Elephas maximus indicus: one gene and its partner. The protein of the gene in region 2 purifies or fractionates together with the protein of the main gene of each other region. This does not show direct contact. Links are inferred from orthologs where the notes say so. Each region holds a gene or a part of one and is shown on either strand. Other genes may lie near its edges.

The links.
Region 1: the proteins of FOXO1 (region 2) and SIRT2 purify together in Homo sapiens (affinity purification with western blotting; 3 studies listed by BioGRID). This does not show direct contact. The link is inferred for Elephas maximus indicus from reciprocal best matches to the Homo sapiens genes FOXO1 and SIRT2.

Annotation. Positions count from the first base shown.
Region 1 is NC_064829.1:112,632,126-112,639,944, reverse strand, and holds the start of SIRT2 (NAD-dependent protein deacetylase sirtuin-2), read right to left. Parts: upstream 3,013-7,819; 5' UTR 2,944-3,012; coding exon 2,928-2,943; intron 2,138-2,927; coding exon 2,091-2,137; intron 1-2,090. Other genes in the region: NFKBIB (NF-kappa-B inhibitor beta), read left to right, coding at 3,407-3,585. UniProt on the Homo sapiens protein: NAD-dependent protein deacetylase, which deacetylates internal lysines on histone and alpha-tubulin as well as many other proteins such as key transcription factors.
Region 2 is NC_064832.1:24,269,127-24,276,685, forward strand, and holds the start of FOXO1 (forkhead box protein O1), read right to left. Parts: upstream 3,044-7,559; 5' UTR 2,615-3,043; coding exon 1,964-2,614; intron 1-1,963. UniProt on the Homo sapiens protein: Transcription factor that is the main target of insulin signaling and regulates metabolic homeostasis in response to oxidative stress.

The DNA.
Region 1 (7,819 bases), on a different chromosome or scaffold from region 2:
TTCCCCTCCCCTTGCAACTTCCCTTTGAATCAAAGTCACCCTCGCCATGTTTTAACACTATCTGGTATGATTCTTTCTTTGACACTTTTTAAGATTACACAAGCTTTGCAAAAACTTTGAAGGTTAGAAAATGTGTAACTTGGGGCACTTGCCTCATGGTTCTCTCTCCCAGGCCCCATCGAGATAACCGCTATTAGTTAAGTTTTGATGTTAATTATGCCAGCTTTCTCCTCTACATGTAAACGTTCACTATTTTGATAGAAATGGGTCAGGCCCTAGTCTGAGGCTGCACCTTGCAGTTTTCCAGAGAACAGTACAGTACAGACCCACCTCCTCCTTTTAAGCAACTGCATAGCGTCCCATTGTATGGACGAACCAGTTCATTTAACTCATCTACTGACAGCCATTTGAGCTGTTTCCAGCTTTGCCACACTGCAGAGACAATGCTGCGATTTACGTCCTCCATCTCTCTCGGGGACTGAGGATCCCTTTCTAATACTAAGCCTTTTTCTCTGGACCCCACATGACAGCAGTGGTGCTTTGGGAGCTAGGGGGGTTTGAAACCCTGGCCTGAGGGGAAGCTCTCATACCCTCAGTGTCACTGTGCTATGCCTCTGTGAGGTACTTTAATCCCAGCATCTACACTGGTCTACATCTGCAAAGCCATCTCGCATCTGTGGGTGGGCTGGAGACAAAGAGGCTCTGTGGGAGGACTCCAGGGCCCTGCCCAGCCAGGGGCAGCTTTGCCTACAGGGGAGGTGGAGGTGCTGGCGAAGTCTTCCAGCCTCCAGCTTCTAGGAGGCGGCCCTGTCGTCTCAGTGTCTGGAGGGCAGTATGCTGAAGGTCTTGAGTTCCAAACCCTTTCCTGCTCTTCTAGCCAAGGGACAGAAGGCAAGTCTTATCACCTCTGCCCCAGATACCCCAGATACCTCAGATTCCTCATCTACACAACGGGCGTGTGCCTCCCAGGGATATCGGGAAGGTTAAACCAGGCGATGCATACAAAGCACTAAACAGAGTGCCTGGCACAGAGTAACCAAAAAAACCCAAACCCACTGCTGTTGAGTAGATTCCAATTCATAGCCACCCTATAGGACCGAGTAGAACTGCCCCACAGAGTTTCCAAGGAGCGCCTGGCAGATTCAAACTGCCGACCTCTTGGGTAGCAGCTGTAGTACTTAACCACTATACCACCAGCGTTTCCAGCACAGAGTAAGCACTCAATCAATGCTAGCCATGGATATAATTATTCGACCATTCCTAGCCAAAGGAGCCCTAGTGGTGCAACCGGCCAGTGCTCAGTGGCTAACTGAAAGATTGGGGGTTCGAAAGCATGCAGTGGCTACCTGGGAGAAAGACCTGGCAATCTGCTCCTGTAAAGATTACAGCCTAGAAAATCCTATAGGACAGTTCTACTCAGTCACATGGGGCTGCTACGAGTTGGAATCAACTCATGGCACCTAACAACAACCATCCCCAGCCACCAAACTACTGAACAGATCACAGTCTTTCATGCCTCCAGGTCTTTGCACAAACTACATCCTCTGCTTGGAACACCATTTGTCACCTTGTGTAGGAACATTCTAAGCCAGTCTTCACCGACTACACTGTGTCTATATCTCAATCTGACTCCTAGGCCAGCCTGTGGATTCCTCCAGGGAAGGGGCTAGGTAGAGTCTGTGATCCCACAAGGCTTACTCCCACAGTGGCCTGAGATACCTCCATTATTCCCTTATAGACTCATTTTCTAGTGATTTTTCTGTGAGAGCCGTGAGTTCAGGGACCAAATCTGATGTGTGTCTCTCCCAGGCCCAGTACAAATGAGGTTCAGAAGGGATGGGGGGAAGAGGGACAAGGAAAGAGGGAACCTGGGAGGGCAGGCCTGGGACTGGGGTAACACACCCTTCTCTGAAAGTCACCAGAATCCACCATTCCCCAGGAGGCTGCACCCTGGGTGGGGGAGAGGGCCTGGGGCAGTGAGCTGGGGGCCCTAGGGGAACTGGTTTCCCTCTGCCGCCTCCCCCAGTGTGGGATGTAGGAACAAGTCCATCTGTCTCCTTCCCTCCATTCCACCCTTTACCCCATCTCACCTGAGCCTCCTGCACCTTCCCTGCCTGGGTCTCCAGAGGGTCAGAGGCTGGGGGAGGAGGGGAGCAGACATGGTTACAGCAGGGGGGGATGGTTAAGGGGGAATGAAGGGGTTAAGAGCGGGAGTAGGGGGACCCAGAAGACCCACCGACCTAGTCACACTGGGGTAAGGAGTAGAGAGGAGGGGATGAGGAAAAGCTGATCATATTAGAGTGGAGATTGCTGGGAAGGGAGGTGGCTAGTGAGGGACAGAGAGGCAGGGGAGGGACAGGTTTAGGGGGACAGAGAGGAGAAAGGAAGGGATACAGGGTGTGGAAGAAGAGTTAGAAAGAGTTAGAAAGGGCACAGCCGTGTGTGTGTGTTGAGGGGGTTAGGTTTCCAGGGTGGAGGGAAATTTAGGAAGAAAGGAGGTAGGAAGGGATACCCTGGCTGGGAGGCGGGTTTGGGAGAGGAGGTGCGGTGGCGGTGGTAGGTTTAGGAGAGGTACAGGAACTAGAGGGAAGAGATAGGAGGGAACACCGGGGCCGCCTAGCATCATACAGCTGCCCCTAACAACCAGGTACCCTTAGCAACCGGGATCGCGGCAACGAGGGTCCTTAGCAACGAGGGTCGAAAAACATGCGATTATCAGTAACACGGTAAAGTGACCCTTAAAACCTCGCGACCCAGAAACCCAACAACCTATCGACACAGAGCATTTAGCAATGGCCCTTCAAATTCCACTCCCCCACGCAGCCTCCACCTCCTGCCCCACCGCGCCCGCTCTCGGGCCCCAGGGCCTGGATCACGAAACCAGGCCCCGGTGCGGCCCGTCCCTCCCACCAGAGCCCTCGACTCACGGTCCGGCTCGGCCATGGGCGCGGGGCCGGGGCCCTCGGGGCTGTCACCGACTGCTCTGTCCCGTGACGGCACCGGAAGGGGGAGAGGCAAGGAAGAGGCAGAGAACTACAACTCCCAGAAGCAATAGCGGCCGCAGACAAGCGATTCTCTCAAAGATCGGAGCGCGTCCCTCCGGATAAGGAAGGTACACGAGAGCCGGACTACGAGTCCCAGAGGGCCGCGCGTCGGCAGCCATGTTGGTAAAGGGCGCCCGGAAAATGTGGGAACAGGTCGAGAGCTGTAGTCCATTCCGACACTCTGATTGGTCTTGGTGCGAGATTGGGCGGGACGTGAGCGATTTAGCCCACTCTTATTGGAGACAGTAGGGGGAGTGTTGGGGAATTCCCCGCAGGGCGGAAGCTCCAGAGGTCCGGGCACAGCCCAGAGGCAGGCAGGCTGGCGGAGGGCGGCCTCTGGGGTCCCGGAGGCAGAGGGGGGCATGGCCGGGGTCGCGTGCTTGGGGAAAGCCGCAGATGCGGATGAGTGGTGCGACAGCGGCCTGGGCTCGTTGGGTCCGGACGCAGCGGTCCCCGGAGGACCGGGGCTGGGCGCAGAGCTGGGCCCGGGGCTTTCGTGGGTGCCCCTCGTCTTCGGCTACGTCACTGAGGATGGGGACACGTGAGTGAACCTTAGACTCCCGAACCGGCCCCAAGGATCCAACCTCGGATAAGATCAGCTTTACCTGATACCCCAGTGGTCTGATCCGGCTTTCTAACCTTTACTCCTAAATCTGACCTCTGATCCTTGACTTCCTGACGTCTAACTCCCAAATCCTAATCTTTAATAAATCAATCTATCCAACTTTGATCTTAACCATATATGTGTGTGTATATATATATATATGTAAATTTTTTTTTTAAACCCAATCATTTTTGACTCTCCTTTCTTGAACTCTTGATTCTTAGTTCCTGGAATCCACATCCCTAACCCACTGATCCCAAAACCCAATTTGACCTCATGTGGCCCGAGACCTCTAACCTCCTGACCTCTAACCTCCAGACATGGTCTTTAATCCTTAATTCATGATTTGTAAGCCTAGACTTTGATTTCTGACATTATAGTTGGCCCCTGACTCTAAGGTCCTGCCTCTGGAGCAGTAATTTTCAAATCTTTCATTCAGAGAGAGATTGTAAGCTCCATGAGAGCAGGGATTCATCCATTCAACAAATATTTATTGAAAACTACCATGTTTTGAAGCCCTGGTTGCATAGTGGTTAAGAACTTGGCTGCTAACCAAAAGGTCAGCAGTTTGACTCCACCAGCCGCTCCTTGAAAACCCTATGGGGGCAATTCTACTCTATCCCATAGGGTCACTATGAGTTGGAATTGACTGGATGGTAGTGGGTTTTTTTTTTTTTTTTTGGTACCATGTGCCAGGCCCTGTTTTAGATGCCAGTGATAAGGTTATGAAGAAAACAGACAAAAAGTTATGTCCTTATGGAGCATACATTCTAGGTGGGAGAGCTAGACAGACAGAAGGTCAGACAGAAAGAAAGACAGGAAGGAAGGAAATAAAAACATAGTCTATCAGAAGATAGCAAGTGTTACGGAGAAATAGCAGGAAAATGAGACAAATAGGTATCTGGAAAGAAGAGAATTGCAGGCAGAAGGAATAGCAGTCATACAGGCCTGGGGTCTTTTGTCAGTTTTGTTTATTGCTGTACCCCAGTGACTTGGACAGTGCCAGACCCGTAGTAACCAACGAGTTGCTGTGAAGTTGGTGCTGTCTCATGACAACACCACGTGTATCAAAGCAGAACTGTGTGCCACAGGGTTTTCGATGGCTGATTTTTTGGAAGTAGATCTCCAGGCCTTTCTCCCTAGGTGCTTCTAGGTGGATTCAAACCTCTAGCTTTTCGGTTAGCAGCCAAGGATGTTAACCATGTTAACCATTTGTACCACCCACCATCTCCTAGATCCATACCAACCAGTTGCCTTCAAGTCCGTTCCAACTCACGGCAACCCCATGTGTGTCGGTAGAACTGTGTTCCACAGTATTTTCAGTGGCTGTTTTTTTTGGTTTTTTAGAAGTAGATCTCCAGGACTCTCTTTTCCTTGGCAGTTAATAAACATTGGCCTTCTCAAAGAACCAGGTTGTTTTTTCATTAATTTTCCCTGTTGTTTTTCTGCTTTCTATTTCATTGATTTCTGTTCTGATCTTAATTATTTCCTTTCTTCTTACTTTAGTTTTAATTTATTCTTCTTTTCCTAACTTTCTAAGATAGGAGCTGAGCTTATTGACTTGAGCCTTTTCCCTTTTATCTGATACAGGCGTATAGCTGTATAAATTTTCCCCTTACTACTGCTTTAGTGGAAACCCTGGTGGTGTAGTGGTTAAGTGCTGCGACTGCTAACCAAAGGGTTGGCGGTTCGAATCCGCCAGGCATTCCTTGGACGCTTTATGGGGCAGCTCTACTCTGTCCTGTAGGTTCGCTGTGAGTTGGAATCGACTCGACGGCAGTGGGTTTGGTTTTGGTTTGGTACTGCTTTAGCAATATCTCACAAATTCTGATGTGTTGTGTTTTCATTTTCATTTAATTCAATATGCTTTCTATTTCTCTTTTGATTTCTTATTTGACCCTTGGGTTATTTAAAAGTATGTTGTTTAGCTTCCAAATATTTGGAAGGTTTTCCACGCTTCTTTCTGTTAACAGATTTTTTAATTTGATTTCATGTGGCCAGAAAACATACTTAGTATGGTTTGAATCCTTTTGAATTTATTGAGACTTGTTTTATGGCCCAGAATATGGTCTGTCTCGGTAAATGTTACATGTGTGCTTGAGAAGGATGTGCGTTATGCCATTGTTGCAAGGAGCGTTTTCCAAAGGTCAGTTGGGTCAAGTTGGTGTATAGTGTTTTCTAGTTTTGCTGATTTTCTGTCTACTTGTTATACCAATTATTGAGAGGGGTGTATTGAAATCTCCAACTGTAATTGGGGATTTGTCTGTTTTTCCTTGTAATCCTGTTGGTTTTTGCTTTGTGTATTTTGAAGCTCTGATATTAACGGCTCTACTCTGATAATAAAATACTCCAGCTTTCTTGTGACCAGCGTTAGCATGGTATATCTTTTCCATCTTTTAATTTTTAACTTATTTGTGTCTTTATATTTAAAGGGCATTAAAAAAAATTTTTTTTATTGTGCTTTAAGTGAAAGTTTACATATCAAGTCAGTCTCTCACACAAAAACTTATATACACCTTGCTACATACTCCCTATTGCTCTCCCCCTAATGAAACAACCCACTCCCTCCCTCCACTCTCTCTTTTCGTTCCATTTCGCCAGCATCTAACCCCCTCCACCCTCTCATCTCCCCTCCAGGGAGGCGATGCCAGCATAGCCTCAAGTGTCCACCTGATCCAAGAAGCTCACTCCTCACCAGCATCCCTCTCCAACCCATTGTCCAGTCCAATCCATGTCTGAAGATTTGGCTTTAGAAATGGTTCCTGCCCTGGGCTAACAGAAGGTCCGGGGGCCATGACCACCGGGGTCCTTCTAGTCTCAGTCAGACCATTAAGTCTGGTCTTTTTACGAGAATTTGGGGTCTGCATCTTACTGCCCTGCTGATCCCTCAGGGGTTCTCTGTTGTGTTCCCTGTCAGGGCAGTCATCGGTTGTAGCTGGGCACCATCTAGCTCTTCTGGTCTCAGGCTGATGTAGTCTCTGGTTTATGTGGCCCTTCCTGTCTCTTGGGCTCGTAATTACCTTATGTCCTTGGTGTTCTTCATTCTCCTTTGATCCAGGTGAGTTGAGACTAATTGATGCATCTTAGATGGCCGCTTGCTAGTGTTGAAGACCCCATACGCCTCTCTCCAAGGTGGGATGCAGAATGTTTTCTTAATAGATTTTATTATGCCAATTGACTTAGATGTCCCCTGAAACCATGGTCCCCAAACCCCTGCCTCTGCCATGCTGGCCTTCGAAGCATTTAGTTTATTCCAGAAACTTCCTTGCTTTTCATTTAGTCCAGTTGTGCTGACCTCGCCTACATTGTGAAAAGGGCATTTCTTGTAGACAGCATATAGATGGGTTTTGCTTTTTTATTCAATCTGAAAATCTCTGCCTTTAAGTGGGGTTGTTTAGACTGTTTAGTGTAATTATTGATATGGTTACATTTAAATTTATCATTTTGCTATTAGTTTTCTACTTGTCCTATCTGTTCTTTGTTTCCTTTTTCCTGCCTCCTTTTGAAATAATTGAGTATTTTTTGTAATTCTACTTTCTTTCTCTCATTTCTTGGCTTATTAGCTATAACTCTTTGTTTTGTTACTTAAGTGGTTGATTTAAGGCAGGGGTTGCCATACTATGGCCTGTAGGCAAAATCTGGTCAGCTGTCTGATTTTGTATGGCTATAAGCTAAGAATGGGTTTTATACATTTAAATGGTTAAAAAAAAAAAAAATCCAAACAAGAATAATATTTCATGACAAGTGAAAATTGTATGAAATTCAAGTTTCAGTGCCCATAAATAAAGTTTTATTGGAGCACAACCACCCTCGTTCGTTTACGCACTGTCTATGGCTGCTTTTGGATCGTAACAGCAGAGTTGAATAGTTAGGGCACAGACCATACAGCCTGGAAAGCCTAAAATATTTGGCCCGTTACAGAGAAAGTTTACTGAACCTTGTTTTAGGGCTTTTAGTATATAACTTTAAATTATGGCCTACTTCAAGTGATATTATGCCACTTCACATATAGTAAAAAAACCATTTATGTAATACATACATGTTGCATCTAGTCGTTTCCGACTCACGGAGACCCTGTGTGCGTCAGAGTGGAACTGTACCCCATAGAATTTTCAATGGCTGACTCCTTAGAAGTAGATCACGGGGCCTTTCTTCTGAAGTGGCTCTGAGT
Region 2 (7,559 bases):
TCTTGCTCTGATAACAAAATAAAATGAAATAAAATTATAATCGTATCTTTTAAAAAGGGACTTAATGTCATTTAAGAGGCAAAACTAAAAATAATCCCAAAACATTGCCTTTCTCTATCTATAAAGACAAGCAAGCTGAAGTACGTTGTATCCATTCCGAAGGACGTAAAAATGGACAACGTACTACAAAAAAAGTTTGCTTCTTTTTAAATGCCAAATGCTTTATACTAAATAATTCAAGCGGTACTGACAGGGGAGCAAGTAAGTACTTAAATTCAAATATTAAGTAAAATTGGATTTTGCAGACAATCCCAATTTTGTGATTTCAAATATGTGCAGAGCTTAAAGGAGGCACTTTCCTTTTTCGGAACACTTGGTCAAACTGCATATAATGCCTAGTAATAACGTTTACGGTAAGTGATAACTTTTACTCCAAAACATATTTTGGAAAAAATAAACCCTGGCTGCTTCTCCAGGAACTTCAGCATGATGTTCGCAACGTGACCTTTTTGACACACATTAACGACAGAGATGACAGTTATATCGAGCATGCTGAACGTTACAACTGCGCAGCAAAGGCCGATTCTTATTATGCTGTTGAGTCAAGCGAAGAAAAGGGAGGAGGGAGTTTGATTCTTTACATCAAACCGCCGGCTGTGACAAGCAGAAACTGCCAGCTTCCTGAGGCCAAACAGCGAATGGACCAAAGGAAAGCCACCTCAGGGCCGGTCCCCCGGTGGACCTCGAGGCCTGCTCCACCTCGGGGTAGGGATACATCGGCCTGCCCCGTGATTCTTTCTTTTTCTCTTTCTCCCCGAATAGCGAAAAGGAGCCGGAGACACAGTCATCTACAGCTCCCCGCCAGCCGGAAGGTCCCGCGCGTTCCACTGGTGCGCACCTCCGCTCCGACTCCCTCAAAACGCCGTCTGAAAGGGAGCCCTGCTTCGCCGCTCACTTGCACCTCCGCGCTCGATAAGCACTGAGGAGGCAAGAGAGAAGACAAACGCATCCCCAGCCCCGGTCACTTGGGGCGCGGCCAAATCTGGGAGCACTTCCCTGCGCGGAAAGCGCCGGCCCCGCCGCCAGCGCGCCGACCGCGCGGCCCGGACGCGCTGGCCCTTTAAAGGCGCCGCTTCCTGCGCCCGCGGCCCCTCCCTCGCCGCCAGCTCCCGCCCCCGCCCCGCCGAGGGTCACTCCTGGCGCTCAGCTCGCCCGCGCGGCCCGGCGCCGGCGCTCGGCTGGCGGTGGCGGCCCCTCCGCACGTGTCGGGGGCGCTGCCTCGGGCTCGGCGCGCCCGGCCCCTCGCACGCCAGGCCACTTCGGATAAAATCAAAACAAAGCAAAGTGCGCACCGGCCGCCGGGAGCTGCGCGGCGGCCCCGCACCGGCTCGGCACCGGCTCCGGCCGGCTCGCGCCCTCCCTGCCCCCTCCACCTGCGGTCCGGGTTCCGGCGGCGGGGCCCCGCGCCCCGCGCCCCTCGCAGCGCCTCCCCCGCTGAGCGCGGCGGAAACGGCTGGGGGACGCGCCCCGCTGGGGCGGAGGAGTCGCCCTCACCCCGAGCTCCGCGAGGGACGGGAGCCACGAGCAGGAGCCCACGCCGGCCGTGGGGGCGCGGGACCAAGGGGAGCTTCCTCTCCTTTTCCTGGCGAACTTTTCCACTTGGGCTGACCTCCACTTCTCGGCGTACTTTCTTCACAGCCTCAGTCCCGAAACAGGCCCCTTCCCTGTCCCTTTCCATCTTTCACTCACACGCGCGCACACACACCTCTAACCGGTCCCCGGACCGCTTCTGGTCCTCGGCAGACCCACCGCCCGCCTCGGCCACTTCTCCTTGCTCTCGCCTGCACGCGCCGCCCTCGTGCCCCGCACCTTCAGGGAGGGCGAACCTGCACAGGTGCCCCCTCGGCTGCCCACCGCGACCCGGACGGATGCCGGAGCCCCCGCGGCCGCCTGGCCCGCTCACCTTCCAGCCCGCGGAGCTGTTGCTGTCGCCCTTATCCTTGAAGTAGGGCACGCTCTTGACCATCCACTCGTAGATCTGCGACAGCGTAAGCCGCTTCTCCGCCGAGCTCTCGATGGCCTTGGTGATGAGATCGGCGTAGGACAGGTTGCCCCACGCGTTGCGGCGGGACGAGCTGCTCTTGCGCGGCTGCCCCGCGAGCGGCCCGGCAGTGGCGGGGGGCACGGGCGGGTGCTGCGGCAGCGGCCCGGGCGGCGGTGGCTGCGGCGGCGCCGGGTGCAGGCAGGTCGCCTCCGGACCCTGGAAGTCCCCACACAGCCCCCCGGTGGCGGCAGCTGCGACCGCCGCCACCGCCGCCGCAGCCGCCGCCGCCGCGGCCGCCGCCACGGAGCCGGGCGCCGGCGGGAAGTCATCGTTCTCCTCCAGCAGGCTCAGGTTGTTCATGAAGTCGGCGCTGACAGCGGCCGCCGAGCCCGGGGGCAGGCCCGCCGCGGGGTCGAGACTGGCGGCCGCGCCGCCCGACGGCGCCGGGCTGGAGGTGGCCGAGTTGGACTGGCTGAACTCGGGCCTGGGCAGCGGCCAGGTGCACGAGCGCGGCCGCGGCAGCGGCTCGAAGTCCGGGTCGATCTCCACCACCTGGGGCGCTTCGGCCATGGTGACCCCCGCCCCTCCCCCGCCGCTGGAGCGCAAAGAAGGGGAGAGCGCAGCACCGGCTGGCGGCGGGAGAGGGGAGCCGAGAGCCGGTCCGAGATTTGGGGGCGAGGTCGCTGCGGGAGCCGACGGAAACCGGGAGGCAGGAGCTCGAAGGGGAAGGAAGCGCGAGCCTAGAACTTAACTTCGCGGGTCCATCAAGCACGCCGGGCTTCTCTGGGTCCGCTGCGCGACGGGACGGCGGGCCGGAGCCACGGGGCAGCGCCGGCGCCCGCTGACAGGGCCCGCGGACGGAAGCACGGCCGGACGGACGTCGCGGGCAGCTCGCTCACTCTCGCCGGCGGCACGACGGCGGCGCTGCTGCCTGTTGAATGTGGCGGCGGCGGCGGCAGCAACTACGCGGCCGCCCGACTTACGGGATCTGCCACGGCCTCCCGCCCGCGGCCGCGCGCGCGCCGGCCCGCCCCTGAGTGGCAGCCGGCGCGGCCAATGGGCATGCGGCGGCGCCCGTGGGCCGCCAGTGAGCGCCGGCCTGGGCGGGGACCGGTTTCCACGGGGAGGTGGCTGCAGATTGGTGGGGGGCAGTGGGCTGTTTTTCTCTTTCACACACTGACTTTTTTTTTTGGATCTGTTATTATTTTCTGGTAGTTCTCGAGTGTGTCTGCAAGTCTCTCGCCCTCTCGGTGTTCTGATTCCTAGGAGGCACACTGGCGTGGAGGCGGCGGCCACACTTTGTTTACTACGGAAAGCAAAGCCGAGTACTCGGCGGTCCCGAGCGGGGCGACTGCCCGCTCCGCCCGAGCTCCGTGCCGGACCCGGACCGGCGAGTGGGCGGACGGGCGGCGGGCCGGGGCGCGGGCTGTGAGGGCGGAGGCGGCCTCGCAAAATTCTGCTCGCTCGCCCCCTCTCGACTCCACCCACGGTTTCTTTGCAGAGCGAGGTGGGGAAGGCAGCGGGGTTTGTTTTTGTTCCACGTTTTCTTCCCGGCGATCTGTCAAGTCCTTGGGCCCCCGCGCGGCAGGCACACGCCCCGGGCGCTGGCCCTGGCTGCCAGTCCGCGCCGAGAGCGCCCTCGCCGACGCCTCCGCGCGGGGACCACCTGTGCGCAGCCCGGAGCCGAGCCTCCGCGCCCGCCCTGGGCGTAGCCGGGGGTCAGTCGCCCAGCCCACAGCCACCGGCCTAGCCCACTCCATTCTTGACCCAAACAGCTAGAAATGACGGAAAGATTCGTATTCTGTATGGAAGCACAGTTCCATCTAGGAACCTCTTCCCCTGGATGGGAACCTCAGACTCTGCCCACCCTGTTAAGGGGAGAGGGGCGAAAGAGGTCAAGGGGAACAGTCAGCAAGAACCTTGTCACTAGATCACTTGCCCCCAAATAAGTTTAATTGTTTATTTATTTATTCTGTTTAGAATAGAAAGGATGCAGTATTGAGGAGTGAAAATGCAAGAGACGATAGGACCCAAGCCTTGGGCACAGCCCTGCTCAAGTTCCTTTAGGCTGCTAACCGCATGCGTCAGTCAGCCCCACGCCCACGGCCCTACCTTCCCCCATTTGGGCTCCAGGTCCAGGACGTCCTGTCGAGGATCAGTGGGGCCAAAGGTAGGAAGACAATGGCCCTTGTCTCAGGGAGCAGGAGAAACAGTTTTCAAGTTTTGTTTTTTGTTGTTGTTTTTTTAAGAAGGATGTGGAAACCATTGCCGTCAAGTCGATTCCGACTCATAGCGACCCTATAGGACAGAGTAGTTTCCAAGGAACGCCTGGTGGACTTTTAGAAGGATGGGATCATTTAGGATGGAAGATAGCAGGGTTTTTAATGTCTTGTCCAAAATGATAGCTCCCAAGTTCTAAAACAATCTCATCTCTTTCTTACAGGCAATACGTCATTTGGAAAAGTTGCATCCAAAAAAAATTAGGCCTATTTTACAAAAGTTTTAAAAATTTAGAGGGATATAAATAACATTTATTCCTTCTTTTCCATTGTCACTATCATCCCCTTAGTTCAAAACCTTATTTCTTCCTAATCCATTTATCACAACAGCTTCCTACTGATATTGGGGACGGGTAGGGTGAGGGTGAAAGGGTTGGATTGGAGATAGAAGTTGGTCATCACCCTCGTCTTTTGGTCTCTTTACGTTTTACTATCAAATTTGGACAGTTTGGGGCTCCCCTGCCAGCCACTAGGGGACCTCAGCAACCCAGATGATAAGCTCAGCCAAAGGCTGCAGTGTAGAGCCCTTAGTACCCCCTAACCCCCGGCCTCCCACCGCGGGCGCCGGGGCGGGGGAGGGGCCTTTACTGTCTGCAGAGACAGCCGTATTCAAACCATAACCTACTAGTCAATGGTGCCCTAGTGAATCATTCTTGGCAAAGGAAGTCAGCTGCAAATTTGGCCTTGCCTTCATTTTAATTCCGGTTTTCCCAGGCCTCAGTATTTGGTTAAGAGAGTTTTCCTGCAGACTTCCCCCTGATCCTTGAAATCTGCTCTGCTATCTTGCCTAATTTTTTTTCTTTAAGTGTCGGTCTGTTTTCGTTTGCTCTTTAAAAACAAAAAGAAAAAAAAACTTGGAGCAGGCACAGAGAACCTACAATGCCCATCTCCCTCACACATAATTCAAACAAATATTTTAACTATATTATAAAAATGTTCATTCTTTTTATAACTGGCCTACCATTCCCATATTGGTGAACATCTGGTTTGTTTCCAGTCTATGGCTGTTACTAACAGCTCCATAACAAGTAGCCTTGTACAACTGTCATTTTGCATCTGTGCAAGTATTACCAGGAGGAATTTCCAGAAATGGGATCACTGGGTCAGCAGGTATAAGCATTTGTAATTTTGAGAGACACTGCCAAATTGCTGTCCGTAAGGGTTGTATCAAGCTAAATTTTCTTTTCAGATAGAGCCACAGATCATTAAAGTTTAAAGTAAACTTGGAAATCATCTTGCAGATTCTTTAATGTATAATGGGGATACTGAGGCACAGAGAGTCTAAACCATGTGCCAAAGAGCACACACTGAGAGTGGTGTCAGAGCTGGAGCTTCGGTTTCTTACTTTCCTGCAATGATCTTCTCGATACACAAGATGTACTCTTCCAACGTCAGGGGATCTTTTTTGGGGGGGGCGGGCGGGGAGGTTAATAGCAATAATGCATGCTCCTTGTAGCTAATTTGGAAAAATCCATAAGGGTATAAAGAAAATTATAAAGATCCTAGAATCCCAACATACAGATAGATAACTATTGTAATTATCTGGTTTGTTTCCCATTAGTCCCACAGAATCTCAGTCATTTTAGTTAGATGACTCCATTGAACTGAATGAAGGTTTGATGTAAAAGATTAAGCAAGCAAACAAAGATAATAGTAAGGTAATCAAAGAAAGGAGGTTACAAAAGAGTGGTTTTGTTTTTTAAGTCAAAATGTAAATGTCCTCTCTCTGAAGGATACCAAAGTATTTAAGTTGGCATTTAATTCTGCTTTGAAGTCTTTTTCTAACGATTATTATGTATTAGTTGGTGCATGTGGCCAAACTGGGAAAAAAATATTTCCTGCCAAATAAGGACAATTAAAATCAAGAAGAAGCTTAACCTCACAAACAAATGCGATGTTCTTTTTTATGCTGGGTAAGGATTGCACCATCGTCAACAGGAAGAGCACGACACCTGCCTTTGATCAATTCCTGGGCAGAAACTTCTGCACGTACCCCTGCCACCAATGCGCCATCTCTGCTTTAAATTCTTATTTGTCAAAACAGGTACTTTAAGTCCAGCTTAACGACTAAGTGAAAACTCGAATGCTTACTTCTCAGTTGTGGAACTTATCTCCATGCCTCACATTTCCTTTCCCCAACAACTGTCCATTTCCAGTATTTTGTCTGAATTATTAGGAGGTACTGCCTTCAACTTAAAGCAGTCTTTCTTCAGTGTGCCCATAGAAAGTAATAATAGGAACAAGCACAGCCTCTATCCTGAAACCAGTGACCTGCAGGCTGGCACATTAACTGGTAGTTGTAGTAGTACTGGAAGTAGTCATTCATTTTACTTGAGGAATAATTTCCTCTGGATTTTGGATACATTCAACAAATGAGCGCCTACTACATGCCAGGCACTGTGCGTCTTACAGTCTGTTGTTCTGATGGAAAGTTCCTTGAGGTCATAAATGGTTTATTTTCTTTTCCTTGATATGATATTTGATGTCAGTGTTAAGAATATATAGCTCTTTAATAATCAACACTACATATTGACAATATTTAATTGTCACACAAAAAATGTTTGATGAATATAAGGAATGCTAAAGCATAAAAGTGCAGCCTTGGTGGCATAGTGGTTAAGAGCTTGGCTGCTAACCCAAAGGCTGGAAGTTCGAATCCACCAGCCACCCCTTGGAAACCCTGTGGTGCAGTTCTACGCTGTCCTATGAGGTTGCTATGAGTCAGAATCCACTCGACGGCAATGGGATTTTTGGTAAGGCATAAAAAATTGAAACACAACCATAGTCACCATTTTGAAGAAAAATAACGAGATGGCCAACATTAGGGCAATGTTTAAGTAAAGAACGTCATGTCTGTAAGGTAGGATTTTATGCAGCCATTTAAAATAAAGTTGTTGACAAAGTTTGTAATGACATTCAGGAAATGCTGGTGATACAATGTTTAAAAGATTGGAAGGTACTACTGTCAGCTAAAAAATGTTAGTAATGATTGGATCTGGGTAAATGGATTTCATCTATGGAACTCTGGTGGTGCAGTGGTTAAAGCGATCAGCTGCTAACCAGAAGGTTGGAGGATTGAAACCACTGGCAGCTCCGAGGGAAAAAGATGTGGCAGTCTGCTTCAGTAGAGATTCATAGCCTTGGAAGCCCTATGGGGTCACCACGAATCAGAATCGACTCTAAGGCAGTAGGTGAGTTTGGATTATTCACCTAGCCCACCTCCTCATTTTACAGGT